Linked DNA regions of Lytechinus pictus. The protein of the gene in region 2 purifies or fractionates together with the protein of the main gene of each other region. This does not show direct contact. Links are inferred from orthologs where the notes say so. Each region holds a gene or a part of one and is shown on either strand. Other genes may lie near its edges. The genes, in order: ribonuclease P protein subunit p30-like and ribonuclease P protein subunit p21-like.

Region 1 (17,192 bases), on a different chromosome or scaffold from region 2:
TTGTGTGGGTGTGACTATGAGTTGAACTTGGATATAAATAAATTCAATATCTAATTTCTACTCCATCTATTCCAGTACAATAACCTGTACCCGGCCATGTAATAAAGGCCCACATACCCTAACTTTTCCTGAAGATCTTTGAAAATGCAGATCTCCACGAAAATTGCATTTCTCTATGGGGGAGTCTAAATTTGGTGAGAATGAACTCATTAATAACTTAAATATACATGTACATGACAATGAAGAAATCATCAAACTTTATTGGCAGTTTTGAATAATATACCCGAAATGTAAACTCTGTCTGAAACAGAAAATCACCATCATTGTGGCCTTTACTGAGCGAATTGTCCCCCAGAGACTGGCTAGCTAGTACAAGCGCCAATGCGGCAGCGTACATGCGTGAGCCTCCCGCCGGCCTTGTAAAATAGATGGAGCTGTTTGATGATTTATTGTCTGATATTTACCTCATCCCCTAGAAAAATAAAACAAATGATTTTCAAGTTATAATTAGCAAATAAGATCACAGAATTGTGATATCTGTAGGGGAAAATGTGCATTAGAAATTGCAAATGGTGGTAGTCATAATGGACCCCTATACATGCAACCATTTCCCGACCGTTGCGTTGATTTTTTTTTCATACCATGTGCATGGAAAAACGTGGTACAGAAAAAAAGACGCAACTTCAGAATTCGAAACTGTGCTTCTCGCTATTTCCAAGGCTTGTTCATGATTTTGAGTGCGGATTTTTGATTATTTTTAAATGGTAAGCAGAGCTCGAGCATATGGTGCTCGTGGGCCGCTGAGTTGTTATCGCTCGGCAATAATTTCGGGGGCGACATTAAGATTTTATGTCACCCCCGAAAGCATGATTTTGGGTGATTTCGAGGGCGACTTTAGGCATTTCCGGAGCGAATTCGCCCGCCGCCCCCGTGTATTTTTTTGCTGTTCTCATACCTACCTTTAGCTGGTCACTTTCAACATGCTTTGACCTCTCAGGGGCACTTGGGATCTATGGAGAGATGTTTAGAATTTAAAAAGAACCATTGTTAAAAATAAATTAATACCACTGGGGCTGAAGGCCACCCAACCCCTTCCATTATTCTGAGCAACCCCACAAAAAAGAAAATTGAGGTTCTCCTTTCTTATTCTACACAAAGGCAAGTTAATTTTGACATTTTAAGATACATAAATAACCTTCTTTTTGATACAATTACAAGTTGAGGAGAAAGAAAGTTTGAATTTTGATGTCAAAATAAAGTTGCAATGAAAAACTAGTCAGACGACATCTTCAGCTGGAAATGGATGGCATTTCGTTTGTGTTTTTTTTTCTTAATTTCTTTAACTTTCTTTCATTGACTCTGTAAATGACTGGGGATGCAGATTCTGGCATGAATTTCTGCACACATTGTTTTGCCAGGCCTGTCTTAATCAAAATGAATAAAATCCCATGTGTGACATATCCACTAAGAAATTGGACTAAACTAAAGAGAAGTTTGCTCCGATTCTATTAGTGTAAAATACATTTGATAGTTGGGATACATGTATCTATCCGTGAAAATATGAGTGTCCGTTTTGATAGGACACACTGTATATTAAAATATACAGTGCGTTTACTGCAATGAATGCAACAATACAGTTTGTCATATCACCAATGCAACTACATACCAGAGGATTAAAAAGTTATGGGATATGCGCTATACAAGAGCTGTTTATTGTTTTATTAAATTGTGGAGTTTAAGTCTGATATATTATTAGATTTCAAGAACAGAACTCACCTTTGATTTGCGATCCAGCTTCTTCTGCCTATGATCAATTGCAACCACTTCATATCCCACTGGAAGGGGGCGGGGGAGGTGATCAAAATGAAAAACAAATTACTCTTAATCAAGTCCATGTCAAGATATTTGTAATATTGGGTGTGAAACTACATTCTTGTAACTAATACATTGTACCCTTTCCAGACTGTTCCCCATTTCCCAGGATCTCCCCTGTAGGGGCATAGTGTAGACACTTGCTGGGACTCTCCACCCAAACAAGTTGGGGTTTTTTATTGGGGAAGTGACCTTAGAAGGGAACTCGACATCTTATACCTGTTCCTAACATACATGTAATTGCTCATGCACAAAATGCGGAAACAAAAAACTTCCATTAAAAAAGTAGGTATTAATTTTATGAAACATGCTATCAATTGGTTAACTTCCTATTCGTCTAATGCCAATTCGTCAATTGCAAACTTGTCTACTATCATTTGGTCTACCATTAGTTCGTCCACTCCCCACATGGTTCGTCTAATGCCATTCCGTCTGTTAGTCTAAATAATCATTATCATTATAATAATTATTTATAATCACGTATTAAATTTTAGTATTATTTTAAATAATAATTTGTATCTATAAATTGTTCTTCAAAATGGCATTTTGTAACATCGCTAATCGAATGTACGTCACCCGATGCGTTTATACCCAGGAGGGCCCAGCATCGTACACATCCAGATCCAGAATGAAGCGGTTCAAGGGTCAGACCTATTGTATTTGCTTTGTTGACAAACGGATCGAGGGATCTACACGAGGTCATTCTGGTAAGTTAAGAATAGCCTGGAGGCTTCTGGGGAGTAAAATTATTTCTACTATACGTAGGCTTACTCCCCATGAAGCCTGGTAGGGCTAAGCATAGGCCCACACACAGGCGAGTATTTGGAGACAACAATGTTGCTCCAAAATGCTTGATTTGTTTAACTTGCTTATCACACAATTTTGTAAATGGAAAAAAAGTTCATTTCCCCACATTAGGCACTTATAACATTATTTTTACACGAAAAATAATACAAATATCAAGAAAAATCATGTTAGAAGATGAGCAGATACTCACCGATGATCTTGTCGCCATATTTCTGTCTTTGTTCGTAGCCTAGTTACAAGACGCGTATAAGAGGGCGATGATATCATGAGCAGTGCCAAAAAAAAAAAAAAAAACTTCAATCGGCTGATGAATATCGTGAATTGTAAAATTTCACGGCCAAATTCATCGGCCAATTGAAGATTTTTTTTTCATTGGCAATGGCACTGCTCATGATATCGTCGCCCTCTCTTATACGCGTCTTGTAACTAGGCTACGAACAAAGACGGAAATATGGCGACAAGATCATCGGTGAGTATCTGCTCATCTTCATACATGATTTTTCTTAATATTTGTATTATTTTTCGTGTAAAAATAATGTTATAAGTGAATCTCGGTACATCTCTCTTCCATCTGATATTCTGCGTGCTGCAATTGATGAACCATCGATTCTAAATAAAACATAAAATGCTGGTTCATACGCAGTTGTCCACTTGGTCTTCTTTGTCTTGCGTAGCAATACGAAGTCACCAACAACAAAGTTGTGTGTCTTGGTGTTTCTGTTCTCTCGTAACCTTTTTCCTCTTTCTTTGTATTCACCATCTTTCTTTTTGATCTTTTCATCCTTCATACTAGCTTCTTCTCTTGGGTTTTTGTGGTCAAGTTTGGATCTAACTGACCTGCCCATCAGTGCTTCATATGGTGGTGTGCTTGTTGCTGGGTGTGGTGTTGATCTATAACCCATCAACATATCTTGTATAGCAATCTCTCGATCCTGCTTCTGGAGATGTGCTATTTGCTGTCTTGTTAAGCACTTTCATTAAGCTTTCGGCTTCGCCGTTTGCTCTTGGGTGGCCTGGTGTGACTCTGTGATGTTCAAAACCTTCTTCCTTTGCGAAATCTTGGAATTCTTTCGAATTGAATGGCAGTCCGTTGTCGCTTTCAACTCTTCTGGGAACTCCATGCGTAGCAAAGATTCTCTTTAGTTTTGTCTTGGTGGCCTGAAATGAGGTTGATCGTGTTGTTTCAACCTCTGGATATCTGGTTCTCTTGTCAATGACAACAAGATTATAATGACCATCTGGATATGGACCTCCAAAATCCATTGAGACTATATCCCATGGCTTCTCTGGGATCGGAGTCGACTTGACAGGTTCTTCCCTGTGATCCTTTGTATTTACTTGACATTCGTAACACTGACTCAAGTGTTCCTCAGTCATTCTGTTTATTTCCGGGAACCAGTACTTGCTTCTCAGTAGTTGCTTGGTTCTTGTTATGCCAAAGTGACCTAGTTTGTGTGCTTTCTTGATCACTTTTTTCTGCAAGGACCTGGGTATCACTATACATTCTAGTCTGAAGATTACATCTTGTGCAATGTATAGTTCATCACGAAGTGGGTAATATGGTTTGATATCTTCATCCTTCCTGAATTCCCACCAATCATTATTCATGATTCTTTCTTTCACTTTCTGCAACTGTTTGTCTTTTCCTGTCTCTTCCTGGATTCTGTCTATGACTATAGCATGTTCACTTTCTATGATCTGCTTGATTACTTTCTCTGTGTCATCTGAATCAGTCTCTGGTAGTGGATGTCTGGACAAGTAATCCAGTGGGTCAACTTCATCTCTTCCTGGCTCATAGATTACTTCATAATCCACATCTTGCATTTCCATCACCCATTTCTCAATTCTAGGTGGCAGTTTTGCTGTGGGTTTGTTGAACATTGGAATCAATGGCTTGTGTGCTGTGACTATCTTGAACTTTGGTGCTCCTAGTAGGTACACTCTGAATCTGTTCTTTGCCCATTTTATAGCCAAAGCATCTTTCTCAGTTTGGCTATATTTCTTCTCTGCTTGTGTCATGCTTCTACTGGCAAAATGTACAGGCTGCAATCCCTTCTCAGTTTGCTGGAATAATCCTGCTGATAAGCCTTCATTGAAACTTGCTTCTGTTCTCAGAATGATTGGCTTATTGGGGTCAAAGTATGTGATAGTATCTTCACTTGTGATACTTTGCTTCAGTTTCTGGAACGCATTTTCCTCTTCGTCTCCCCAAACGAACTTAGTATCTTTCTTGGTCAGTTCACTCAGCAGTGCAGTAAGAGTAGAATATCTGGGTATAAATTTGGATAAATACCCGATCACACCAAGAACACTTCTCACTTCTGCCTTGGACCTTGGTTGTGAGCTTTCCTTGACTGCTCTGACCTTTTCTTCAGTTGGCTTTAGTCCATCTTTGGTGAAGAGGTAGCAATAGAATTCTAGCTGGTCTACTCCAAACTCACACTTGTCAGAATTGAAAGTGATGTTGAAATCTGTAGCTCTCTTCAGGACTTGTTCTAGAGTTGCATCGTGCTCCTCAAGAGTTTTACCTCCTATCAAGATGTCATCTCTTTGATTTAGGCATTATGGGATATCTCCAAAGATGCGAGTGATTGTTTCATCAAACAGGTCTTGTGATGATTTTGCTCCAAAGATCAGTCTTTTAGGCCTCATGTTTCCCCATGGGGTGCTGAAAGTTGCTATGTGTCTGGACTATGGTGCGAGCATCAACTGGTGGTATCCATTCTTCGTCTAACTTGGAAAAGACTTTACACTCATGAAACTTGTGGATGAAGTCCTCTACCACAGGATTTTGGTTTATCCTGCTCCTTTCCATCTCTTTGTTTGGTATTCTTAGATCAATGCTTGTTCTTATCATGTTCTGTGTAAGACTCTCTTTTGGTTTGTCCTTATACCTTGGCTTTGGTTGTATCACCAATGGTGAACACCATGTAACCGGCTCATCTTCTGGTAGTGGCTCAAATATGTCTTCAGCAACACAGTGATCTAACCATTCCTTCAGCAGTTTCTGGAGATAGTATGGAACAGGGCGTGGCTTTTGAGCAACTGGCACTGCTCCTTCTTTCATATGGAAATGTGCATAAATATCCTTGTTGCTTCTTTTGTCATGTATCTTTCCAATGCCCTTGAATGCCTGAGCATTCTTCTTGATTATCTCATCCATAGAATCTGGTGGCTTGCTAACTTTCTTGGCTTGCAGAGTACCATTGGGTCTTATCTCCAACATTCCTAGTTTGGTTGCGGATACTCTTCCTAGTAGTGGTACACTGTCTATCTTCCCTCTTATCACATAAAATTCTTTTTCTATACCTAAGGTTTCATTCTCCACAGTTGTTGTGAATTTTCCTTTGACATCAAGTTCAGTTGTCAATGCACTGAGTTTAACCTCTGTGGGATGTAACTTCAACTCTCTATCGGATCTGTTAGATAATGCTTTAAACTGGTGCTCATCCATAAGGTTGACCTCGGAACCACTATCTACTTCAACCTTGGCATCTAGATTAGCAATTTTTATGCTGACATGCTTGTCCTGGATTCCTATCTTCCAAATTCGAACTGTTTTGGCTTGCTTAGTACTCAAGTGTTGCATAAACTCGTCATCAGAACTTGTATCTCCTTCCTGTTTCTTGGCAGTTTTCTTGACAAAGCTTATGTGTTTTCCTTTCTTTTCTTTACCATCCTTGAAAGAACTTGTTGCCTTCTTTTTGTCATCTGATTTTACCTTGGAGTTGGAACTTGATTTACCCACTGAGGCGAAGTGGTTGTATTTGCGACATTTATTACACTGCCTCCCATAAGCTGGACAATCTTTCCCTGGGGGATGTTTGTCAATCATGCCACAAAATGAACAGGCTCTCTGGTTCTGCTTGTTTGACTTTGGGTACATCTTTCCAACTTTACGTACATCCTGCGTACTCATGTCTGCCACTTGAAGCGAAACATCTTCTTTCTGCGTGGCTTCACTCAATAATTCGTTCAGGTTCCACCCTTTACTGATTGCCTTCTGAATTAGAGATGTGCTCTTAAGGGTTTGAATCAAATGCTCTAGGATCCTCTCCTCCAGTGAACTTCCAAATTCACACTCTACAGCTTTTTCCCGAACACGAGCAACATAGGCAGCAGTGATTTCCCATTCTTGCATTCTTGTTTTCGAGAACAGGTAACGAGCATGATGCTGGTTTTTCTTAGGCTTGTAATACTCATCAAGTTTCCTCCTTAGCTTTTGGTATTCATTCATTGGATTGTTAACATCCGTTTCTATTGGGTCTGGGAGTGATCTTGCTAACCTGGCAATATCCTTTCCCCCATAGATGATTAGTGCATCAGCTTTGTCAACAGGGTTCACTATCCGGAAATACCTGAATAATTTTCTTTCTAAGTCTTCTAACCATTCTTCCCAAGCTTTCCCAATCGAAAGTTGGTTATCCGGGTGGGTAAATGGACCAGTTTTCAGGTTTCTTGTTTCACTAACCACTGTTATGTTTTGATTCTGCCCAGTAGCCATTATTGTACTCTCTCACCATATAGTCACAAAAGAAATCTCCGTAAAAGTTTTACTATTACAGCGAAGTGGGGTCAAAACGAACAGGGAAGTTGCGGCAGGAAGACACAGCTACTCACCATTGGGCAATGCGATGGCTGGGCACACATCCATCAGGTTCCGTGGCGATTCAAAATCTTGGCAGGGTCGCCAATTTAACATCTAATTCTAAAGACTAAATTTCGAATCAGTCCAAATCATTATCATATCAGTCATTCCTCAGACATGCCACTTCATAGTTCACGCGACTGAATAACTCAGTTACTTCTAGGCTTGAAATATAAGTTTCATAACTTTACTTGTGTGTTTGCAATTACGTCACTGTTACACAATCGTGGCTATTAATTATGACTATGTATGCAGTTCTTTGTGATAGTCTTTGCATTCAGACTTTTCATTACTTTCTAGTCAGGGATATCATAAGTAATTCAAGTAGAAATAATTTTACTCCCGAGAAGCCTCCAGGCTAGGCCAGGTAAGAAACCTTAAAATTTTCACTTTTTTATTAACCAATTTTTTTAACCTTCATACGCATTACTAATTAGGCATTGTCATTGATTTAAGGCTCCTTAACCCTGCCACACTCATCTGTACACCCTCGTCATGAAGACAGTGAGATGTGGCCATCAAGGTAACTCAAGGTAACTCAAGTCAAGGTAAGGAATTAAGCTAAACTAAACTTCAAATATCAATAAAATTAATTCGTACAAATTACTTACAAATACAATACTACAAACCGATTTCACCCTGTAACTATCCATCCGGGTGTCAAGGTCTCGCTTCTGCGTCTATGGAAAGAGCGTCAAGGCTCCATGATGAAGAATATATGTCAAAATATTAAAAAACATCATCATGGAGGCCGGCCCAGGTGCACGAGCGCGAGCCGAACGAGATCCGCCGCTGCTTTCGGCGGGAAGTTCCCCGTGCCGAGTCTGACTCTGACTCTGAGACTGAGTTGTGTCCGCGTCCGGCGTTGATGGAAGAATAACCTGCGCGCGACTAAGCCTTAAGGAGAAAATTATGCACAATACTTACATCTTGCTGCTCTAGCGATTGCTCTTTGTTTTCTCTTCTCGTCAAACCGATTATCTATCAAATTTAGGTCAAAAAATTGCGTCATGTTTTCGATTGAATTCGACTTCCATACATGCACACGTGGGTAAATAATGTTTGTTTACGTTACATTGCGTGGATGGCGATCGACCAATCACTTTGCCCGTTACTCCTCGCCGCAATTAATGACAACCCCGTGTTTTGATTGGATAAGGTACTTCGCGAGCGCTCGAACCGGTCAAATTCGAAGAATCGCCAAGACCAAGTACATCATCAGTACAGCCTCAGGTAAGTCCAAGTCATTTAGTAAATTAAATATCATCTTATATGGTAAGCTTGTTCAACTATCTATCTTTTAACATTAAAGTAAGGCCTTGTAATTAAGTCAAATAGTGTGAGGTGAGTGAAGTGTAGTTTCTGGTTGTAGTTGTACCGTTTTTATGTTTGTGGCAGATTCATTTTCGCCTGGGATGCTGTTAAACTTAATGCGATGCCGATGGTGTTGTCGTTCATGTGCTATATGAATACGCGTATCAAGGAACCATGATATCACCAATTCAGTTGTGTGCATAATAATTTACTTACGATTGTATCATAAATGGCCACTCTTCATGCAATGCTTTTGTGCGAGGTTTTTTTTCTTAATGTGATGAATTTGTGTATGATTACATTTCAAAAGTGTGACTATTGATAGACAGGAATAACCGTCGTTTCTGGGGATTTATTCAACAATTTCTGACATTTTACTGTAATCCCCATTTAGATTTTAGTTTTACCGACGGTAGGGTGTACGTGTGGGCTCGCATGTGTTCTCATTCCCTCCCTTTTGTCAATTCACAGTCCAAAGTTTGATGTAATTTTACACATCGAATTTACAATCTAAGGATGTATAAACAACAAACTTTTAAAACTTGATATTTCAATGTTTAAATACTTTAAACGATATAGATGAAAAAGGCATGAAAAATATACTTTACCAATGTTTAATTGGGTTGAACACGATAAAAATGGTCAAAATGGCAGCCAAACTATAAAATATTTACAAACGAACGTCAACAATCACGAATGTGATATCGATATTGCTTTCGATATTATACGATCTGCTCCATATGCGAACGAAACCGAAGATAAACGATACTAGTTATACTAGTACTAGTACTAGTTATAATCGCGATATATCGATTCGAGACATTAATAACGATAATGACGTCATTCAAGATGGCAACTTGCAAGAAAAACCGTCAGGTCAGGTGAAAATGTCTTAGATGACAGATTTCTCAATCATCCAGAGGATTTTTTTCAATAACTCCGGCCCAAGGTATGCAATTACTTAAGTTATTTATATTTCCCTGATAATGGAAACCATGAAACTTTCAATTTTGCTTAAAAAACAGTTTTAAATCGCGATCTATAAAACGCTAGTTCACTATACGTTGGCTGTAGGTACGGGGCCCCGTCCCCTTCAGTCTATGTATGGTGAGTGGAGCCAACGTAGTTCAGCGGAACAACCAAAATACAGAGACTGAAGCTTTTGGTCTAGACTATTGATAGCGCATAGAAAATACAAAAGAAATGGTGAAAATATAGCTGCAGCGGGGTGGAAAATAGAGATTTGTTTGTTTTTTAATAATGTTTTAACAATAACAGACTGAGTTTTGCCTTTTGGTAAAATTTACTAAAAAGTTTGTTTGCCTGGCTTCAGTTCAGTTCAAGTTCTTTCTTGCACTGTTTACATTCCATAAAATGTGTAAATTTCTGTTGTCAGCTTTAATTCTGGGTCAAGCTGGCACGTTTTATGTAGAAAGGTAAAAAAGAATGCACACTGGCTTGGTTAATTGTTAGGCTGTCTGGCCTGCCTGGGATTTAGAATTAGTATTTTTCGGGGCTCAATGAATTTTTTTCTATTCTGCTCATTTCGTGTTCTATGGCTCGCTTGCATTCTTTAGCGGCTAGAAAGAGGGTGAGAGAGAGAATGAACAGGTGAGAGAGATAACTGAGTTGTAAGATACGAGTCGTAGAACGAGAGAATTAAGTATAGAGATTGGATGAGAGAGCTGTAGTAGTGGGAGTGGTTGAAGTGTGAGAGTCGCAGAGGGGGACAAGTTGATCGAGAGAGCAGTTGGGGGAGTGGTGAAGAGAGAGTTACGTAAGAGGGAAGAATAATGGAAAGCCGAAGAACTTGAATTTGGAATCATTAATTAGTTACATTTTATACATTGATATTACAGGCAGATTAATTTGGCGCATTGCACCAAAAGGGATAAGACCGATTTGGGGAAGGGTTTTCTCTCCACGTGGTGTTTGAGCCAAGAAGTATAAAATGGGCGTGTGCTAGGTCGGGCGGGGTAGTTCTTTTCGTTAACGATTTGTTTTGCTGCCGTTAGCCATGTCGGCTTAATTGTACTCAAATTGCGGTCGCCCAGCCCATAGATGGGACGTTATTATACTATATCAGCTTGTTGATTTGACATGGATTTTGAATAAACACATACACAACTTTACTTTATCTCTTTGTTCGAATTTGTCATTTCTCGGCTCCGTCTTTCTTTGAACGTGGGCAGCGCAAGACAGTGGGCGGCCACCGGCCGTCTTGCAAAGCTGTCCCGCTACAAAAATACCGAAAACTAAATTAAAATCCAGTTTGGTTAGCAGTAGAGGTGCATGGCCAATAATTATGCCATATGGGATGGGAAACTGTCTCCCATGAGAGAGATTATCTCCAATATCAGACTTGTAAAGAATTTGGGTATCCAATTTCCGAGACAGTCTCCAGTTGGGAGACCAATTTCCTTTGTTTACATTTGCTGCAAAAGGATTAGCTTAGTGGCACTCAAGGGTTCATTACATGCCGCTGTGCACGGGAAAATCAAGGCACGACTAACCATAGCTAGGAGGCTCCTAGAGTGTAAAAATGATTTACTAACGTATGCTTACTGTCCACGGAGCCAGGGATTGCGTCCCATTAATTTTTTATTGATTTTCATCAAAACTTTACCAGTATTTTTTCTCATTTGTTTTCTGATATTTTACAACAAACTTTCCTTTACTTTCTAAAGGTAAACCTTCTTTAACCCTAACTAGGCCGGGCTTTTTTGGCTGTTCTGTGGCCGGGGGGGGGGGGGGGGGGGGTTGATTCAACCCCCCCCCTGAGATCTCGGCCACCGATCGCGCGAGCGCCGCAAAAATTTGCATGCTGGTAGTGTGCGATGTAATCTACAAGGCTGTATGGTAAAATTTTCCAAAATAATGAGATTTTATTTTATATGAATTAATTATGCTAATTTATGCATAAATCATACTTTTTGCTCTAATTCACTAAATAAAGCTCCTAGAATGCTAATTTTTGGTAAAAATATTCTTTGTAGTATTCTTAACAATGGCAATTGAAAAAAACTTCGGTTTGGAAATCAATTTCTTATGTATTTTATTGTTTTATGAATTTCTTATGTATTTCTTTGTTTTTTGACCTTTTGTTTTTCTTTGTTTTTTTCACCAGATTTATTGCACAACCTTTTTGAAGCATAATTATGCTAAAATCAATTGCTTTCAGCTGTTTAAAGTAAAAATAATCATATCTTTATGAATAAGATGAGAAAACTCAATTTGCATTGACTTTGTACACAAAATCACGTTTTTGAACAATTTTTGGTCTGACATGCACTTACAAAATGTTGCGTAATTTCGGAACCGAATTCCCGGGTGTCATAAATTTGGTCTCAAAAGATGCGCGAGACTTAAAAGTATAAACTCTGCTAGTGGCGCGGTCAAAAAATTTCGCGCGGCGGAATGATCGCAGAAAATGTTGAGGGGGGGGGTTGATTCAACCCCCCCCCCCCCCGGCCATTTTAGGGTTAACAGTTAGAGATTTGGCACTTGTTCAGTTTTGCACCTGTAAAATGTAGTGAACCAGAAAAAATGTTCTTATTTTTTTATCACCAATGTAGATGGAAAACCTCACAACTAAATAATGATGAAACTAGGGTGATATTTTGTTAAAAACAATTTTGAATTAAAAGTGGGTGATAATGCCAACAAGACTCTTATCAATTGTGTCCATGAAACCCAAGTTTGACCAACTTACTTTCTTTCATTTGACATTCAATTTTGATGATGTATTTTTTTGCCCTCCCTCTTAAATTTCTGTGAGTGTGGACTTACCCTTGAATACTTTTTGTTATCTATCATAAAGTGAGTGATATAGACAATACAAAAAGCTTCTTCCCTGATGCGACCGCTGGCCAGGCTGTGGAATGCTTTACCACAGGCCGCTGTCTCCTGTACCTCTCTTCTATGTTTTTTAAAAAAAGAAAGAGAGGTACATGTACTCAAAATCCAAATTATTTAATTTTCACAGATGTCTTGTTTTTACATGTACATGCAGCTGCACATAGTATTGTAGAACCTTTTATTGAGACACTGTACATAAACTACAGATACCTGCACATGAGTATGGAAGTATACCAGACCTGTACTTACAGCAAAGAAGGAGAGTGATGTGCAGGTCAAATTATGTTGAAAATGTCGTATTTTGATTTTGTGCTTCGTTTTTGTCACAATTTATTCTTTCAGAAATCAGAATAGATCTAAGGCTTCAAGGCCTAAATTTATATCATTGCTTTATATTTTATAGTTGAATTCAGTTGAACAAACATAAATGCAATTTGACATACAGGTGTATCCTTTTTTAATTTTCAATTAAAAAATAGTGAAACGGGGAAGGACAGTATCGGCAACATGAGTGATTTCCCAGCCTCCAGTAACTTCTCAGACACTGAGGAGGACGTTGTTGAAGAGGAGGAAGATCTGCTAGCCTTCCAGGAGAGCATAAAAAAGGACCTCTTTACAGAATTCACGTCGGCCACGCCCATGAAGATTGCCAGGGTTAGCGTCGCTCACAATAGGGAACCGATGAAGGTTTATCTAAGAGTGAGGCCTTTCACTAATGCTGAGGTTGAAGGAGGCGAGTCCCAGGTACAGTATGTTTTTAGGCCTCCACCAACTGTAGGTGGTTGCTGGCAACATTCTGTTTTTGGTAGTACATGCATACTGTTTTCCTTCATGCTATAACTAAGAGAACTTGCTCTAATTGGGATATCGCACAGCAATTTAAAAATGAATTAAAAATATTCAATTAGATAAAACCAATCTAGACTTTTCATTTATTTATTCATTCTTTTGGTGTTTTTTTTCTGTTCTGACAAATTAAATATGGTCCTGAGAAAAACATTCAAGAATTGGTTTGTTTGGTTGCACCAACTCCGCTTTACACATGCAGATCCAATACTAGTAGATGAACCAGTTCAACTTTATTAGACTTGGTACATAAATGAATGGATTTCAGAATCTGATTGGGCTCTCAATATATTTGTATTAACAATTAAGAAGGTAATTCTGCCATATACCTCAGACCTGTTATGTAGGGAGCATAAAGTTTTACCACTTTCCCTCTGTCTCCAAGAGACCACCACCCTCTGTTTAAATTACCTTTAAGAATAAGGTTCTAATTTCCCAATTGAATTGTGTATACATAATTATAATAATAATACATATGATTTATATAGCGTCTTTTCCATTTTGATTAAATGCTCCAGGCGTTTAGAAGAGAGCAAAACATAAAAGTAAAGAGAACTAAGAGAAGTACAAGAAAAGGTAAATTACAAATGAGGACAAATGTGTGTCTTCATCTTTTTTCAGGAATGCATGGACCAGGAAAACAACACCACTCTCCTGATGAGGGCTCCCAAGAACAGCTTTGCCTTTAAGAGCAGCCAGCGCGGCTTTGGAGAGATGAACCACAAGTTCACTTTCTCAAAGATCTTCAATGAAGATACCAGTCAGAAGATGTTCTTTGATGAGACCATGCTCGCAACAGTCAAAGACTTCATCGATGGCCACAACTGCCTGCTCTTCACCTATGGGGTAACCAATGCTGGAAAGACATATACCATCCAAGGTTTGGTTACTTTTGAGTTAACTAATCTGGCCCTTGCACAATTTATATGATTGTTATTCTCATTTGAAGAGTCTCTTTGTCATTAATAATTGCATTGCTGAAATAAGTGTATGATTTGCTTTATGAGTTTTGCATAATGTCTGTAAACTCTTGCAAGTTAGCTCACATCAAAGTGAATCGTCAACAACAGAAATTACAAAATTGTTAAGATCTTAGTTATGGAAAGAATTAAACAGGATGAATAAACGGAACAGAAATATATTGGTTGTACATAAAATGTAAGAAACCGGAAAATGAGGAAAGGGACAAAGTTTCAAACAGGGAAAGAGCTGGATTATCTTACATTTCCATTTTACTTCATTATAACCAGGTGTTCCACAAGATGGTGGGATTTTACCCCGCTCCTTGGACGTCATCTTCAACAGCATTGAAGATCGCCAGTACCTATCAAACAGAGTGAAGCCACGCTACTTCTGCGATGTAGTGAAACTCTCTGAAAGGCAGCAGAAGAAGGAGGAAGAAGTGAAATCAAAAGTGCTTGCTTTGGGAAATATTCCTTCTACTGGAGCAGGAGATCAGGTAACAGGATCGTTTTCATCAAGCAAAATGTCAGAGATTTTATCAACAACTGTTAAAAGCTGCTCAAATTCATGCATCTTATTGGCTGAGGGACATTTCTCAGTTTATTTGTTAAAGGTTAATTTGACCACCCCGTCCTACCTCCCTGTCCTTTATTTACTATGTAATCTAGTTAAAAAGCTACTTTATTTTCCATGAAATGAGTAAACATGAAAATTCATTGAACAATTATGAGTTGCATAGGTATCTTTTTTTTTTTGCCAGTCTGATATAAATCTGTAAGCAGGTCTGCTCTAGGTCAAAAGTTGATTGTTTACTATTAAAGATGTGCAAAATTGGTAATAAATAATCTCATTTCAAATGTTTCCATGCCTTGTCCATCCACCCTGTTTTTGTTATTGTACAACAAATCCATCACGATTGTTATTACCTTTGAACAACTCTTTCCTATCTAGACAACAATGTTAGAAGGTGAGAGCATGACTGATGATAGCCTGAACACGGACATATCACATGCATCCTATTCTGCCGGCAATGATGATTCCCAGGACTCCTCAAAGCTCTCAGAGAGTAAGATGTCCACTACCAGAGACATTGAGGGTAAGACTGAAGTACAGTACTAGCCATGAATTAAGATATCAAAGTTCGGCGATAGTCGCGATACCTACGTGAGAAATTTAATTAGATTGCCGGATCAGCAAACGAGAACAGAATTTTTATCCAAGTATTATAGCCAGTAATAATGTTCTATGTAGGTATTGACTGCTTTCAATGTATTCCTTATTCTTATTTGAATCATGTTGTTAAGTACTGCAGGGTGCGCAGCATATTTTAATACTCACGAATGATCATGTTGAAGCTTCAATACTGCACCAATGACAAAACTTTTTATACATGTACAAGAATGTGTGAGTGAATGTTCTTAATGGGGAGGGGAAGGCTTCTAATAAAACAGTTGTGTGGCATACATTATAGAGTTATTTTGGCACCTCTGCTTTGTACTGTACATTGTCTCACCAGATATGCCAGCAACTTGGTTGACACCATCATAACAAAGACTAGTCTGGGTGTTTTGGCTGTTCTCTGACCTTATAACCCCCTTGAGAGCTAGGTCGCCAACATTTTTAAATAAATATATATATTTCTTTGATTTTCAACCTTTTGTTTTTCTTTGGTTTTTTTCTCCAAATTTATTGGAAAAACAGTTGGAACCATAATTATGTTAAGATCAATTCAGCTAGCTGGTGAAAGTGAAAATAAACATGTCTTTATGAATTTGATGAGAAAATTCCACTATTTTGAAGCAATTTGTAGTCAGGCATGCACTTGACAAAATTTTCCCTTATTTTGGAACCACATACCCGGGCATCACTAATTTGGTCTCAAACAATGTGCAAGATGTGAAAGTATAAAGTCAGCCAGCTGCGATGTAAAAAAGAATTCGTGCGGTGGAATGGTCACAGAAAATGTTGAGGTGACAGGTTTTTTCAATGCCCCCCCCCCCCTCAGCTGTTAAAGTCATAAAGTTGTGGTAACTACCTCATTTAAAATAGTCAAATTAGAGCGTAAGAATTGCCTAGTGATCTGTGTTCATTGTGTTTGTCCTTTCTATAAACCTTTTCTCTACAGCAATGGGCAACCAGACATTCTTAGACGAGGTCAACGCACGCATTCCTGATGATACCATGGTCAACGTGGATGCTCAGGGCCCCATCAAGTTCAGCATCTGGGTGTCCTTTGCCGAGATCTACAATGAGTACATGTACGACCTCCTTGAACCCCTACCGAAGGAGAAGAAAATCAGGAGACAGGCGCTCAAGCTTGCCGAAGACAAAAATGGGAGCATCTATATCAAAGGTACGGTTTTCATCCTTCATAGTTACTTGTATGGTATATTGTAACTGCTCAAGTACAACCCATTTCCTCTTCATAATTGGAGCTTTTGTCCCACATACAAATAAATATTTAAAAAAATGCATGTAAATAATTCCTGCACTGATCCCCCCTGTTTGATTGTTATTACCTGTGCCAATATCATAATGGTTATGAGAGTAAATACATACATGCATGTAGATAAATGAAATAGGCAAACTGATCTAAATTCACAAACTCTCCATAAAATGCATAAATACACTGAATTAGATCAACAAAACCAGCAATAGGAAATCTCCATAGATTTTTTGTCTCGCCTGCGAAGCAGAGTGAGACTGTAGGCGCCGCTTTTGCGGCGGCGGCGTCAACACCAAATCTTAGACCATGTTGGGGGAATCAACATCAACATCTTAACCTAAGGTTAAGTGTTTGAAATGTCATCATAACTTAGAAAATATATGGACCTAGTTCATGAAACGTGGACATAAGGTTAATCAGGTATTACTGAACATCCTG
Region 2 (15,028 bases):
GTGAACGAAATCCTGAACTTTGTCATGTGTTGTATATGTCATGTACTTATCATATGGATTGGATGAAACAGCTATGAAGAAAAAGTCTAATTTCTCTGCCAGAGGTTATAATTGTAAAAACACATGCAGTATATGGAATGAATTGGGATGATATGTTTGGTCCTTTGGCGAATTTTCAATTTTTGAATGACTAAATACTGATTTTCAGGTGCAATTGTTCACAGGGCTTCGTTTATACAACATGTCACTGACAAAGTTACAGCTAAGATTTAAAAAAGGTCAAATGGATGTTAACGAATGTCGTGAAGACAAGTCTTCACAAATTGTAATTTTTGTTTTCTAAAATCAGATAGGAGACAGATTTTCTCTTCCAAACTTCAGAGGATTTGGTAGCTAATCTCTTCCAAAGTGAATGATTTAGATTATTGAAACGGATTTTCAATTGTATCATAATCAGAGGTGAAACTCTTATACATTTATATTTATTCAATTATAATTATTGATTTATCTTCCAACCTCCAAGAAAAATGTATGTTACATATATGTTTTGTCAATCAAATTAAAATTATATATAGATTTGTGAATTGATTTCCTCTTTCATTCATGCATTTGCTCAATAGACATGACAAAATCAACCATTTTCATGGATGTCTGCTGTAGTGATGTTTATTAATGGAAATATGTACAATGATAATCACTTCTGTACATCTACACACACAAATTCAAATGAAATCAGACAATTAAGAATTTAAAATGAATCAGAAAATTAAGACTTTACAGTTTCATTTACAATCCTCAAGGTACAGCCACTCTGAGTATCCTGCACTACAAGAAAATGGAGACCACATAAAAATATGGAAGATCTTTTGTAGTCTAGGGCTTCACTGCTTAAAAGGTATTCATGCACATTTTAATTGGGGACATCAATAACAATTCAACTTTATACCGTGAAATTAATTGTATGTCTTGTAATTGTTTGCTGTACCAAACTGTGCCTTTTAATTATTGGGGCATGGAAACCTTGTTTGATATGCTGCCGAGTCCTGTTACATGTACATGGAGTTAATAATACATCGAATAGCCAAGTTACCATAACTATAAATTCTTAATGCATAATGACCCTGCTCCATTTCGTTTCAACCATGGTAGCTGCATGCTTTAAATTTTTGATCAGATTTTAGCACAACTGTCGGGTCATTTCTATAATACAGCACAAATTGAAAACTCAAATTAAAGGGCATATCAGAGGCCCGTTTCATAAAGATCTTATTACTATTGTAACTTTGCCATTATGGCAACTACCATGGTAACAGTACTCAGCAGCCAATCATAATCAAGGTTACCATGGTAGTTGCCATAATGGCAAAGTTACAACAGATGTAACTCTTAATATGAAATGGGCCCCAGAACTCCAAAGGTCAATTGGAGGGGAACTGAGCACAGTGGAAATTTCATCAACAGCCATGGCTTTGATGGCCTTCAATCATGGATAAATCATTGGATGCAATGGTGCCTGAATTGCAATTGATCCGATCAATCACAACTATGGACGGCCAGCAACGTCAACATCTATTACGCACGTTCGTTCAAAATATTTTCTAACTATGATGTATAATCTTGCATTCATTGTTTTCTTTAAAATTCACTGTGCTTCTCTTTGTTTTCAAAGCTCATGATGCAAATTTCCTGTAGAAAAAATTATGACACTGATGGATTTCCATAGAATCACGACTGATTGGATCAAACGTAACTCTTTGTAAGACGGGGCCCAGGACCATTTTAATACAAATTGTAATTAATGATTGTTACCACAGCGGGTGGGTGTTTAATAAAGCTGTTCGTAAGTTTTGAGTGATTTAAAACAAAAGACCCTAAATTAGGAACTAACCCAGCGCCAATGGAGATCAGGGCTCCGTAACACAAAGGTTTGCCATGAACTGCAAATATGAAAGAACCGCACTCATTGGCTCCCGGTCAGTATGTTAAACAGAGTATGCATGCAACGATGATCTTGATTGGTCATTGGTATTCAGCGATTGATTACAAACCATTGTGTTACGGAGCCCTGGGCCCCATCTTACAAAGAGTTACGATTGATCCAATCAATCACAACTATGGAAAGCCAGCAACGCCAACATCTAAAATACATGTTTCTTCAAAATATTTTCTAGTTATTGGTATATTTATACATTTACTGTTTTCTTGACAATTCAGTATGCTTCTCTTTTTTTTCAAAGGACATTGTGCAAAAGTCCTGTAGAAAAATTATGACACTGATGGATTTCCATAGAGTTACGATTGATTGGATCAATCGTAACTCTTTGTAATACGGGGGCCCTGGTGTTGACCGCTTGCCACAAGGAAGGATCACCAATCGTTCTTAAAGTCAGTCATAGCCTGCAAACAGGTTTATGAAACTCCCACCAGCAGTGATTCTGTGTAAATCAATATCAAGGATATCAAAATCTCACCATGAATACTCCGAACATTACTTCAGTGTGTCTCATAAAGCTCTCATAAGTTATGCATGACTGCTATCCTTCTCTTGTGCGAAATCAGATTGATGGGTCATAGAAAGTTAGATCTATACCAATTAGGTTAAAACAGAAAAAACTCATTGAGCACAAGGATTACCAGTCACTCGTAAAAGCATTTGGGCATTTTCACGGTAACTGACGTTACACGGCACAATTTTACACACCTTTTCACAATGAAAGGTGTAAAATTGTGCCGTGTAACGTCAGTTACCATGAAAATGCCCATTTGTAACTAACAGTTTTATGGTACATGTATGGCTCCCTTGAGGCTGAATTTTTCAAAAAGGGAATCAATTCATGATAATATTAATGAAATGTTTAAAAGTGAACTTAGCATCTGGATGCTGGTCAATAATTTCAAACAAAATAACCGAGTCTTGTTTATTACCATGTTCCCAACATGTGTAATGTCATGTGTAACTGATTTTAGCTCTATAAACCATCCTAAGAACCCAATTCTACAAGGATAGGATAGCAAGATACTCTTGTAACCTCAGTTTAAAGGGGTGCTCTGGGCTGAAGATTTATCAGATTTCATCGTAACTTTGTTATATCAAATAATGAAGTTATTGAATTTTAAATTTTTCAATATTTTGTGAAAACAGATCGTCATGAATATTAATTAGGTGGGCTGATGACATCTCCATTTTCCCTTTTCTTATGTTATTACATGAAATCACAATTGTTTCAATATTTTGATTCATGTGTGAATGATATGTCTCCCTTATAATGAAATAAATTGCAGCAATGAATATCTAATGCACTGAATCAGTTGTCAGTTTAACTGTTTTTTAATTCTTAGAGGAAAAAAAAGAATAAACCTAATTTCAAACAATAAAATACAAAAGAACAAGAGAGATATTTCATCATCAGTTTGCTCATTGAATATTTATAAAGACATTCCTAGAACTGTTTCATTAGAATAATGCAAATCTTTAAAATGCCATAACTTTGTTATTCATTGTCTGATTCTGATCGAATGATCAGTGTTTTGTCTGATTTTTCTTTATCTGTTCAAATCATATGATGTTAAACCTTGAGTACCCCTTTAAATGAATTAAATTATGAACTGGGACCAAAACTTACATTCTATAAAGAAATCAGATGAAAATAATTCATGCTTACACAAAGTAATATTCCAAGTCACAGCTTTTTACCTATGACTTTCGACTTTCTTTACATAACCGGGAGGGGGGGGGGGGGGATGTTGGTCACAAAGAAATAACTTCAAATAAGTGTGAATTAGAGTCGTGCAGAAATGCCGCCGTGCACATGATATGTTGTGCACAATCTTATTGATTAGTACGCAGTAGCGCGCATCCTCTTAGCACGAGTTTCTTTTGGCAATCTACACTTAAAAGCCGATTTATCAGCTCTTGTCTTGAATGGCTTCCGTTTTATGTGCCCACAGAACATGCTTTTCATCCGTATTGAACCTCTTGACTTGTTTACAATCTAAGCATGTCACTACCACGTGCTTCTGCCTACGACCTTTGACCCTGACAGTAGCAGTGACCCCAGGGATCAAAAGGGAACTGCACTTTTTGCATATAGTACGCTTGATATGAGGATCAAGTCTTAGCACGAGCTTTGCTGCTACATTCTTCATGGTCTCGATGTAGAACCTGGCCAGCTGAGTGTTCCCAGGGTTCTGTGCCAGGGTGCAGTGGGCTGCTTGGTACAGGTAGTTCATTCGCTGGTGACCCGCGTCACCTTTGCATCTTTTCACCATCCTCGGCAAGGCTGATCCTTCGAAGGTTCCGAATCTAAGGATGTCATCAAGAAATGCAGCGATAAATATGTACTGCAAGCCACTGTATCGTAACCTTTATATAGTTTCCACACCAATAAAACAAACTCCTACATGTAATACTATCTCGCTGTATTTCAGTTCTTACAATTCACAGCTGTCGAATCACCAGAAAAATTATCTAAGATATGGGTCCTTTGCTCAGTTTCCTAAAGTAGCGGAACTTCCGTCCTAGTACCCATATCATCTTCTATGATTGACAGTTCAACAGGACATTTTCACTAATAATTGGCTTCGTCAAATGCCTTCCTAGCTTTCTTGAGTTCTTCATTCATCAGTAGAAGCTGTTTGATTCTGGAATACTTGCGAGGGTCTTTCCTGATGAGAAAGATGATATCCTCTACTTGAACTCTGCCTTGTCGGCCTACCTGGGTTGACTTCAGGGTCTGATTGAAAAGAACATGAAGGAAGAGAATGAGATGCTGCATGGAATTATTATTTACTCTACTGCATGCAGTACTTTCCAAAAGTCAATAACAATTTAAAGTAATTTTAAGGGCGGATAATGCAAAACATGTATTGTACCTCTGAAAAGACAAGCATAGTCTAGTTACTAAAATAAATCTGTATAGTTCTTACAGACTAAAGAAAAAAGTTGGCAAGCTTTCCTGGGTAATGCATATCTTTATAAATATAATTTGAAAATTTATTCAAGTACATGTAGTTATTACTCTCTTGGCTTATTAAAGCAAAGACCGTTGCATCTAAATTACAGACATTCTAATTTAAAGGTCAAGTCCACCCCAGAAAAATGTTGATTTGAATAAATAGAGAAAAATCCAAACATAATGCTGAAAACTTCATCAAAATCAGATGTACATGTATAATAAAAAGTTACATTTTGAAGTTTCGCTTATTTTTCACAAAACAGTGATATGCACAACTCAGTGACATGCAAATGGGCCAGTCGATGATGTCCATCTATTTCTTTTGTTTTTTATTGTTTGAATTATACAATATTTCATTATTTATGTTTTTGACAATAAGGACCAACTTGACTGAACCATATAGTATTGAACAATGCTCATTCCACAAGTTCAGGGAGGAATTGGTCGTTGTTTCCCTTGACAATGAGAAAATTAGAATATTTCATATTTTGTATCATAAAATACAAAAGAAATAGTGAGTGGATGATGTCATCAGTCTCCTCATTTGCATACCGACCAGGATGTGCATATAACTGTTTTGTGAAATTATGCACAACTTTCTTTTTTTACATCCGATTTTGATGAAATTTTTAGCGTTATGCTTGTTTGATTTTTCTCTACTTACATGTATTCAAATCAACATTTTTCTGGGGTGGACTTGACCTTTAAATACGATGACTATTAATACCATCATTATCACGTTTAGTAGGCCTATATACTTGTAAAAATCTACCTTCAACATTTGTGGAATATGCACTTTATCCACACTCAGGGGTGTGAGTGGTCACAAATAAAAAGATCTGAAAAAAGCTGAAGAGTGTTGAAAAAGTCTGAAAAAGAAAGAGCTCCCATACTTTTTGCACAGAGGAAAGCCAAAAATAAGCTGAAATTAAGCTGAAAATAAAAACCAAAAAAAAAAAAAATCGGAAATCAGATAAAAATCTGAACTCTCACACCCCTGTCCACACTTCTTTCTTTTCTATTTATTTTCAAAAGCAACATGCATAGCACACTTACTATATCTGTAATAAAGCCAAGAACTAAATCTTCTAGTAGATCCACAGTTTCAGCATATGGGTTCTGATCATCACCAAAGCCATACATCATACATCTCACTGCACAGTAAGATTAAAGAAGAAAAAAGAACGAGATGTAAACATTGCTTTTTTGTAATATGATAAAAAAATATATATGGATATATGATTTATACTTTGATACCTCCTAGAGACTGGCAAATACTATCTCAATCTTGAAAAATTCAGTTCTCTCCAATTTGATATATATACATAAATAGACAAATATATATATATATATATTCCATATGCTGAAGCAGACTATTTCTATATATAATGTTTTAAAAGTATGGAATATCCAGCATATCCAGGTGGGGCAAGTTAGCCATGTGCCCTAGAGGATGTACATGTAAATTAGAAAAAAAAGGTGGATACATGACCTAAGCTTTAAGTTTATCTGCTAAATTGGGTTCTTCAGTTATCTTGCGAACTAAAACAGGATGGAAAGCCTGAAAAAAGTCTTACATTCTTTGTTGAAGAACCTTTTTTTCTTATCGGCACTCTCAGCAGGAATTTCTTGATCAACTTCCTGCCCATCGAAGTCCTGGGTATCCTCAGTTTCCTGTTTCAGGAGAGAATAATCAAAATGCAAACAAAAAACGTTTTCTATAAATGACAGTGTGATGCATGTGGAGGGAAAGATCCCATACTGGTACATGTAGATCTAGCTCTGTAATTTCAGTTCATCGGTGAACAGTAGAGGCGCTGGTCCAAAAATTGGGATTGTCCCAGAAACCAAGGACATCCTAATAAACCAAGACAAATATCTTGAAAAATAGAGACTGTCCTTCTTTATGGGGACAGCTTTTTTCTTTTCACTTACCCCTGCGGGATATAGACAGCAATTACAGGGATATAGTGTGCTAAAAACAGATTTAGTGACCTCGATTCCCCCAGTTCAGCGTCTATTTTTCATGACTTGCCATCTTCCAATTTAATCTTGTTATGAAACCTGATATGTCTAAGATTGGTATCGGCACTTGACTGGTGAATGAACTATCGTAGATTTCATGTTTGGAGAAATCTTTGAAAACTGAGACAGTCCCTGTGAACTTGGACGATCCCAATCTTCTGACCAGCGCCTCTACTGGTGAACTACACTGTCCAGCAAAAACGAAGGTCAATTTTTGCGCCTTTCCCGCATGTGTTGATGGCATTAATTAGATGTTATCACTGACTTAGCCTATTGTCCAGAAGGGTACAGCTTTAGTGTGTGTTGTCGGGATTGACTGCTTGCATGTGAAATAAGTTTGACATGTTGAATCGAGATCGATTCGAGGCACATGTGTCATATCAAATTACGGGCGCATTACTCGAGTTGGTATACATATGTAGAGTATCTGCACCAGTGTGCGGCCGCTTAAGGGTTTTTTTCCACCCTGCAACTATTTTGCACAAGCTATTTTAATCCATACATATCATATTAACAGGACTGATGGTTATTCCCTTTGTTATGAAAACTGGCCGATGGCAATTGCGGTGGTCAAGATTGACCACGACTTCGGACCAGCCATAGCTTTCTCCAAGGTACAGCCACTGTACCAAGAATGCTTTAAAATCCGTGTTCATCGGATGTAAATGGTTACATAACATCTTTACACAAACATATTTAGCATAAATACATCCTCACCTTTTGCATTATTTTAGGGTTGGATGAAGTTTTATCGATAAATTTGGGGCTTTTTGGACATCATTCTGAGCAGTCAACATCTTTTGCCTATCTGCCATTTTGATTTCGTGCTGTACATCTTCGAACGTAGAGGGCAGCAACAAAAGGCCGTGTGCTGCCTTCTATATTAGGCCCGTTTTGGGTACACATGTACACGCCCGGTCAAGTCAGTGCATGTGTACTGAATTCCATCACCGTGTACATCTGTATAAAACTTGCGTGGGAGTTGTAAACAAGTGAACAATTACTTAATTGAACACAATTCTATTACCATGCTGACAGCCTCACATTGATTCCAAGTTCTCAGACGCTGCACAAGTATTAATAACTAAAATTCCACTTTCATACCCACCCTTGAGGTTCTGTATTTGCGCTAGAATTTCACTCACAGTTTTTTATGAATGAAATCTGTCTTGGGCCCACCTGGGGCGTGGGCGTTCACGAAGTTTACATACGATGCAGTGACGTTATGATTGATAAAACAAGCTATGTGCTTTTTGCCGCGCCTTAATAGCTATTACTCGATTTCTATTTCCCTAAAATGAAACCATGTATAATTATGATGCCTATTCACCATTAATTTGAAGTTTATTTTGATCCTAATTCGAGTCTCACTCGTCTTTTCGTGCCGAGATAATTTGTGCGATGAATTCATGAATGGAATTTATAGTCATCGATCGCACATGCGCATTGTGCTTTAATCAAACCAGATCTAAATTGTTCTGAAAGGAAAATCAACGCCGGGATCAACGTAAAATAAATCTTGCGTTCATTAACAATATTTCTTATCATGACCATAGAACATTATTCAATCTTAATATTTTAACAATAATTTGCGAATGATAATCATTAATATGAATTTAGAGTTTGATGTAATTCAATTCAATTTGTATTACGTTTCCATTTTTAATGACGGACATCACGAATTCCGTAACGAGTGATGGGTGCACTTGTCTAAATAAAATTATATCATGTCAGGATTGATTTTCAAACATCGTCGTTGCAGAAACTCTTCTCACGATCGTAATATCATTATAGAATACAATTTTACATGACATAGCAGAGTAAGTTATTCATGAATGAAAAATTATGTTATCAATCGCGCATGCGCGATGTACTTCTTTATCTCGGAGACGTCCGGAGTACTTCCATATTCCAACTTAACATAACTTTGCTGACATTACCAATATTTTTAGTATGGCCTTAAAATTTTATTAAATCGTAATAATTTAACAATAATTTACATCATCATTCATATAAATTTAGAGCTCAATTTGAGACATTTGTATTTATTTCAGTCGAGTCAGTGGTCTGCAATTATCCCGAGTCTAAAAAGGATTATCAAAAATGTCATCAGGAGACTTTCAGGATGTTGCAACATTTTAATCAAAAACGATCGTTGATCATTTTACACTTGGTCAACACAATGAAAGTCTCACTCAAATGTATTGCGAAGTTATACTAACCTCGCACCATGAACCGCGTTTGGCAGTGGATTCCTAACTAGTGGGTCGCGCGTACTTTAAAAAATCATTAAAATATCACTTTTGAGACCAAAATTACTAATTTCCATACAGTTGCAATTTATTTTTCATTAGTAACTGGGGAATAATTTTTGTATTCACTAGAGCGCTCAAAAACTTGAATTTCGGGCATATTTTTGTGTACGCCCTCTATTGGTAGAAAGTAATATGGCAAGAAAATTTTATTTTTTTAATCTCTATTTTTAATTAAGAAAAAAATAATTTAAAGAATCAAATTTAATAAGAGAACCAAGTTGTATGACGAATAGGTGTAGGCCCTAATGGAAACTGTCAGTGTAAAAAAATCAAGCATTTGTCCCAAAGAAAAAGAGAAAATAAGCCAAACATTGCCACCCTTATTTTGCCACACATGGAGATATAACTGAGAACAAGGTTATATCATAACCTTGTTCATTGAATGAGTGACTTGGATAAAAAAAAACTTGCATCGGCCTATAAATATCATGATTTGCATGGATCGTACAAAATCCAACAAAATGAACAAACCTTGCAGCCTACGGGACATACGATAAAGTATAATTGTTAACTTCATTACCGTTACCAACCTCCCAAAGTAACAATATGAAATACTTTGATCCTGAAATATATATAGAAATATCATGGATCGTACAGTGAGTACTACTACTAGTGACTAGTACAAAATCCAACATTGTTGGCAACAAAAGTACAAAACCCAACAAATTTTGCAGCATACGGGACATACAATAAAATATAACTTGTTAACTTCATTACCGTTACCGACCTCCCAAAGTAACAATACGAAATACTTTTACCCTGAAATATAGAAATACATCTTACATAAATAAATGCGCAAAAGATTATAGTAAATAGTGCACTATCATTGTGACAAAACGAAAAACAAACCTCTGAATTGGAAGCAGCAGCGCTTGAAGATTCAGCCATTATTGTAAAAATGACGATAGAGGGCGTGTGTAACTGCAACACACACAGAGATACGATATGAAGAGTTTGGTTGCAAAAGAGGTTTGGATCATTCCGAGAAAAACAAGTTTTTTATTCTCACTTATTTTAATATTCTTATGAGAAACTAAATTATCATAATGTACTACCCTTTCATATGAATATAAAATTTGGTATAAAAGAAATCTACCTGTCCCCAATTTTTTTTCTATATATTAAAAAAAAAAAAAAATTGTGGACCTAACCCCTTTTGCAAGCAAACTGAAATGAATCCAATCTCTTTTGATTAAAAGTGATTTTGCATTGACACTTTTTATTCACGTTTTTTATTTAAATTTCAAATTTTCTTTAGTATCATCAGATCGACTTAAAATTTAGAGGTTTTGAGACAGAAAATAATAAAATTTATATTAAAAAAAAAATGGACCTAACCCCTTTTGAAAAATGAGCTCTTCAGAAAAGTTTGGTTGCAAAAGGGGTTAGGTCCACTCCAACTAAAAAATCATTTTTTAATTCTCCCATATTGCAATATTGTTCGGCGAAACTTAATTTCATGATACCCTACCATGAGAACATAAAATTGGGTATGAAAGAAATCTACCTGTCTTCACATTTTTAAAAATATTTTTTTTTCCAAAAAAAATCTCTGTGGACCTAACCCCTTTTGCAACCAAACTAAAATGGACCTAACCCCTTTTGAAAAAAGGTGATTTTTATTGGCCATTTTATTTCAGTTCTTAATGGGAATTTCAACTTTCCTTTGGTATGATCTTATAGAGCTACTAAAAATCTATATATACATTGAGACAAAAAAAAAAAAAAAAGAAAAGAAAAGGAAAAAAAATCAAATTTGATGAAAAATTGACCTAACCCCTTATGCAAGTGAGCTCTTCATATATAGGGCCTTGCTGCAACATAGGTCTGCATCATATGTTTGTTCTGTTTTTGTGTATGTTTAATGTATAAAATCTTTATTCAGATTGTTGTACACTTTCCAAGTATCAACGTAGGCACTTATTTTTTTGTATTGTCTTGCAAAATATAGAGGTATAAATATATATATTTTATTATGGGATAGCCTATATAATTCACATCTCTATAAACAAATTATTTTATATACGGTATCAATTTTATTATCTGCTCAGAACTTGAAAAGTCTTTCTGTTTGGATTTTTTCATCATACAATACCGCATTATTATACAGTAAATACAAGAGAAATGAACTTTTTTTTGTAAGTATTATGGGTTATGATAATCTTTGTTAAAAATGTATATCACAATGTATAATATTTCATTTGTTCTATTGCTGTATACATGTACTTCACTTCATTTTGTAAATTTAATTTATGAAAATGAAATGAAATATGTATGAAAAATGTGATATTATCTGAATAAAGGCTAAAAAGCATTGAAATGGTCATTGAGGTGACGTGGATAATCCACCTGTATGGTCTGCATCAGTGTCTCCTCAGATCTAAAACATTTTCCCCACAACTGAATCCCAAATTCCCCAAAAATTCAGAAATATTTTTTGGTAGTTTCAAGTTTGATTTTTAACAAAAATCGGGCAATAATACAGCCAGCCTATATTCAGTCCAAGTGACCAAAATCAAAGGATATAACATTAATTGTTCAACAAAATCGACGAAATGCGAGCGCGGAGCGCGAGCGGAAAATTTTGGGCTTCGTATCGAGGTAAACAATTCTTTGATAACATAAATATTAAAAGTTTCGCCATTTAATTGTTGTGTAATTGTAATTTTCGGATTACACGGAATTACCTAGAATTTTTTACTTACCCGAAACTTACCTGAATGATGATCCGGATTACTGAACCGGAATTTGGGTAATTTCCTTAGTGGAAAGACTGGTCTGTATGCAAGCTGTAAGCGCGCGGGGGATTAGTCAGGTGGAAAAAAAAAGAAAACCTGACTGAAAAGAGACTGCAGCTCTCCGTCTATATCTCGGTCTGCCTTGGCCATGGCCCCAAGGATTTGAAGCCTCGAAATCCTAAGGCATTTTTAAGGCATTTTCAAGGCATATATAAGAGTTTAGCATATACTCAGTTTTAAAAACATTTTTTTGGTGAAGACGATAATATGCTTATAAAAAGTTACAGCATCCCTTGCCCCATCAAAAGACCTTTGAACTAGTAAAGAACTAACAGTAATGTTTTTATAATTTTAACATGAAAAATATATCACATTAAACACAAATAATGAGAATGGGAGTTGAAACTTTTGAGTATACATATTTAATTTATTTCCATTTTTAAACCTATTACGATTCGTCGCTCACTAAACAAAAACGCAAATGCGAAGCTTAAACTGATTTCGATAGAATAAATCTGGAAAAAGAGAAGCACTTTTTTTTATAATCGTGCCCACATTATTATGCCACAAACATACAGGCAAATCTGCCCCCAAAAGATATTTTAATGATTATATAATAATTCGCGAATGGCATATCATAAGATAGGACTGTCTCAATATTCCCAAAGTAAAAGATAAAAATGCAAACACATCATTTCGCATTGATGGCTTGAATACGTACATTGTGAAGGCGTAACTGCTTTGGGTATATTTTCAAACATTTTCCCAGTTTTAGAATACCGAGTTCAACAACTTCTAAAGTTCAAGGTCAGTATTTGCTCTTTTTCAATAGAACAGCAATGGAGAGACATCTATTAAATATATATTACCCTGATTACAAGATAAAAGTTCATCCAAATGTTTGCGAAGTCCTTTGAACTGTACATTTATTTCTTTAATGGCCCATTAATTTGGAACAACCACAGTTATACATGGCCCTGGGAATCGGGCGAGTAATAATATGAACTTCGTCATTTCTCTACTAGATTGAGGTAGATTTAATTCATGTATGTTTCCCCTTTTTTTGTTTTCATTCTTGTTTTTTTTTGCAAGTGTTGTTTCCTGCCATAAACATGTAATTTCATCTTTGGCCGATGTATGATCAGTGAAGGTGGCATTCCGTATAGTCACCCAACCCAAGTTGGCGAAGTAGATCATGAAAACATAATCACTTTACTAAAATCTGGATATTGATACAATGTATTGTATTGAATGAGGATTCTTCAATGAACGATGCAAACAGAAAAAGATTCACCGTCCCGTACGTCATAATACGCAGAATTCTGGCCAATTACTGAGATACACCTCGCCCAAAATTAAAGCTTGTCCCAACAAAGTTTTATACTTCCCAGATGAATATTTTTGTTTCAACCAGTGATCAGTGATCTGATCTGCCAGGCAGGCCAATATATTGAGTTCTTCACATGATATTAGCTAAACATATCTAACTTATACCTTTATACTATTATACTTACTTATATCATTATACTTATAAGAGCATTGGCCTCATAATCGCAGGACTGTGAGTTCGAATCCCCACTCTGCCATTGTCTCTACATTGATAAAAAGGCCCGAGAGTGATATCTGTCGTCTATAACATCAGCCACTATGACTGATTAACCTAGACGCAAAATGTTTCCTATGTAATTGGTTATATACCCCTACCAAAAATAGTAGGAGGGACACAATATCAAATGTCCCCCTGCCTTTTTTTATGATGGAGAAAAATAACATCATTCACAAACGAAATAATAGGCCTACGTGTATTCTCTACTAAAATGACCTTACATTTTGGGCGGAACTTTTTTTTTTTTTTTTGCTTGACATTTTTTTTGGGGGTTAAAACGACCTTACAATTTGGGTGATAACCTTTTTTTTGCTTGTCAAACTTTCCAGCCCCTGCCCCCCCTACCTTGGGGACAGATTTCCGCCCATGGAAGACATTGCAATTTTCCGATAGCTTGAGGTTTTAAACCGATTGCTTATTATTATGCACACACCCATGTACTTGTAAATCTTTACCAAATGGCTCTTTGCCAAACTGTCCCATAAGCGTGTTTTATGATTTATTTAATTACAAAGCAGTCTTTTGAAAATTTATTTTCATTTATTACAGTAATCATGTTTGCTTTTTTATAGTTATCACATTTCAGCACCTAATCAATTGATGTATCCATAAGGCATCACAACACCAATAAATCATTTGGTTCGCGTATCATTAAGTTTATTTTATGATTACTGTTCTGCACAGAGCATTCTAAATGGTTTATGATTTGTATTAGTCGGGCCTTTTTGGTCCTTCGCCCCCAAAGAGAGCTTAACTCCAAGAACCTGTATCGCTTGTTATTATGCCCGGGGTCCCGGGTGCATAATCATAATAATGATACCCTTTTATCACCCTTTTATGGAGCGTTGTGGCCCAGTGGATTAGTCTCCGGACTTTGAAACAGAGGGTCGTGGGTTCAAATCCCAGCCATGGCGTAATTTCCTTCAGCAAGAAACTGATACACAATGTGCTGCACTCAACCCAGGTGAGGTAAATGGGTACCGGTAGGAAGTAATTCCTTTAAAAGCTGTGTGCGCTATGAACTAGCTTAGCCGGGTAATATAGGAGCGCCTTGAGCACCTAACAAGGTGGATATGTGCGCAATATAAATACCCTATATTATTATTATTATTATTATCAAACTGAAGGAATTAAACTGTCATTTTTTAAAATGGTAATTCGATCTTGCTGGGACGCATACTGTAGACATATTTTGGTAAAGATTTATTGAATATGAACGTTAAAAAGGGTAGCAGAAAAAAGTTATTATTAAACATTTTCTACTGGGCATACATGACAAAAATGTTTCAGTCTAAGTGAGCAAATATGAGGAGTGTCAGCAGTTTAGATTGTGAGTTGACACGGTTGAAAGTGAAGGCTTATTACATTAATTACTTATACTGCTCTTTT

Evidence for each region.
Region 1: the proteins of ribonuclease P protein subunit p21-like (region 2) and ribonuclease P protein subunit p30-like purify together in Homo sapiens (co-immunoprecipitation; 3 studies listed by BioGRID and IntAct, counting the BioPlex papers as one, with this or other methods). This does not show direct contact. The link is inferred for Lytechinus pictus from reciprocal best matches to the Homo sapiens genes RPP21 and RPP30.

What each region holds. Positions count from the first base shown.
Region 1 is NC_087256.1:15,066,568-15,083,759, forward strand, and holds the start of ribonuclease P protein subunit p30-like, read right to left. Parts: upstream 8,414-17,192; 5' UTR 8,340-8,413; coding exon 8,255-8,339; exon of another isoform or gene 8,170-8,254; intron 1,836-8,169; coding exon 1,777-1,835; intron 1,011-1,776; coding exon 960-1,010; intron 1-959. Other genes in the region: kinesin-like protein KIF20B, read left to right, coding at 13,007-13,243, 13,967-14,225, 14,596-14,804, 15,260-15,404, 16,434-16,661. UniProt on the Homo sapiens protein: Component of ribonuclease P, a ribonucleoprotein complex that generates mature tRNA molecules by cleaving their 5'-ends. Also a component of the MRP ribonuclease complex, which cleaves pre-rRNA sequences.
Region 2 is NC_087248.1:14,443,849-14,458,876, reverse strand, and holds ribonuclease P protein subunit p21-like, read right to left. Parts: upstream 4,270-15,028; coding exon 3,907-4,269; downstream 1-3,906. Other genes in the region: transcription initiation factor TFIID subunit 13-like, read right to left, coding at 4,569-4,733, 6,012-6,109, 6,533-6,629, 10,145-10,183. UniProt on the Homo sapiens protein: Component of ribonuclease P, a ribonucleoprotein complex that generates mature tRNA molecules by cleaving their 5'-ends.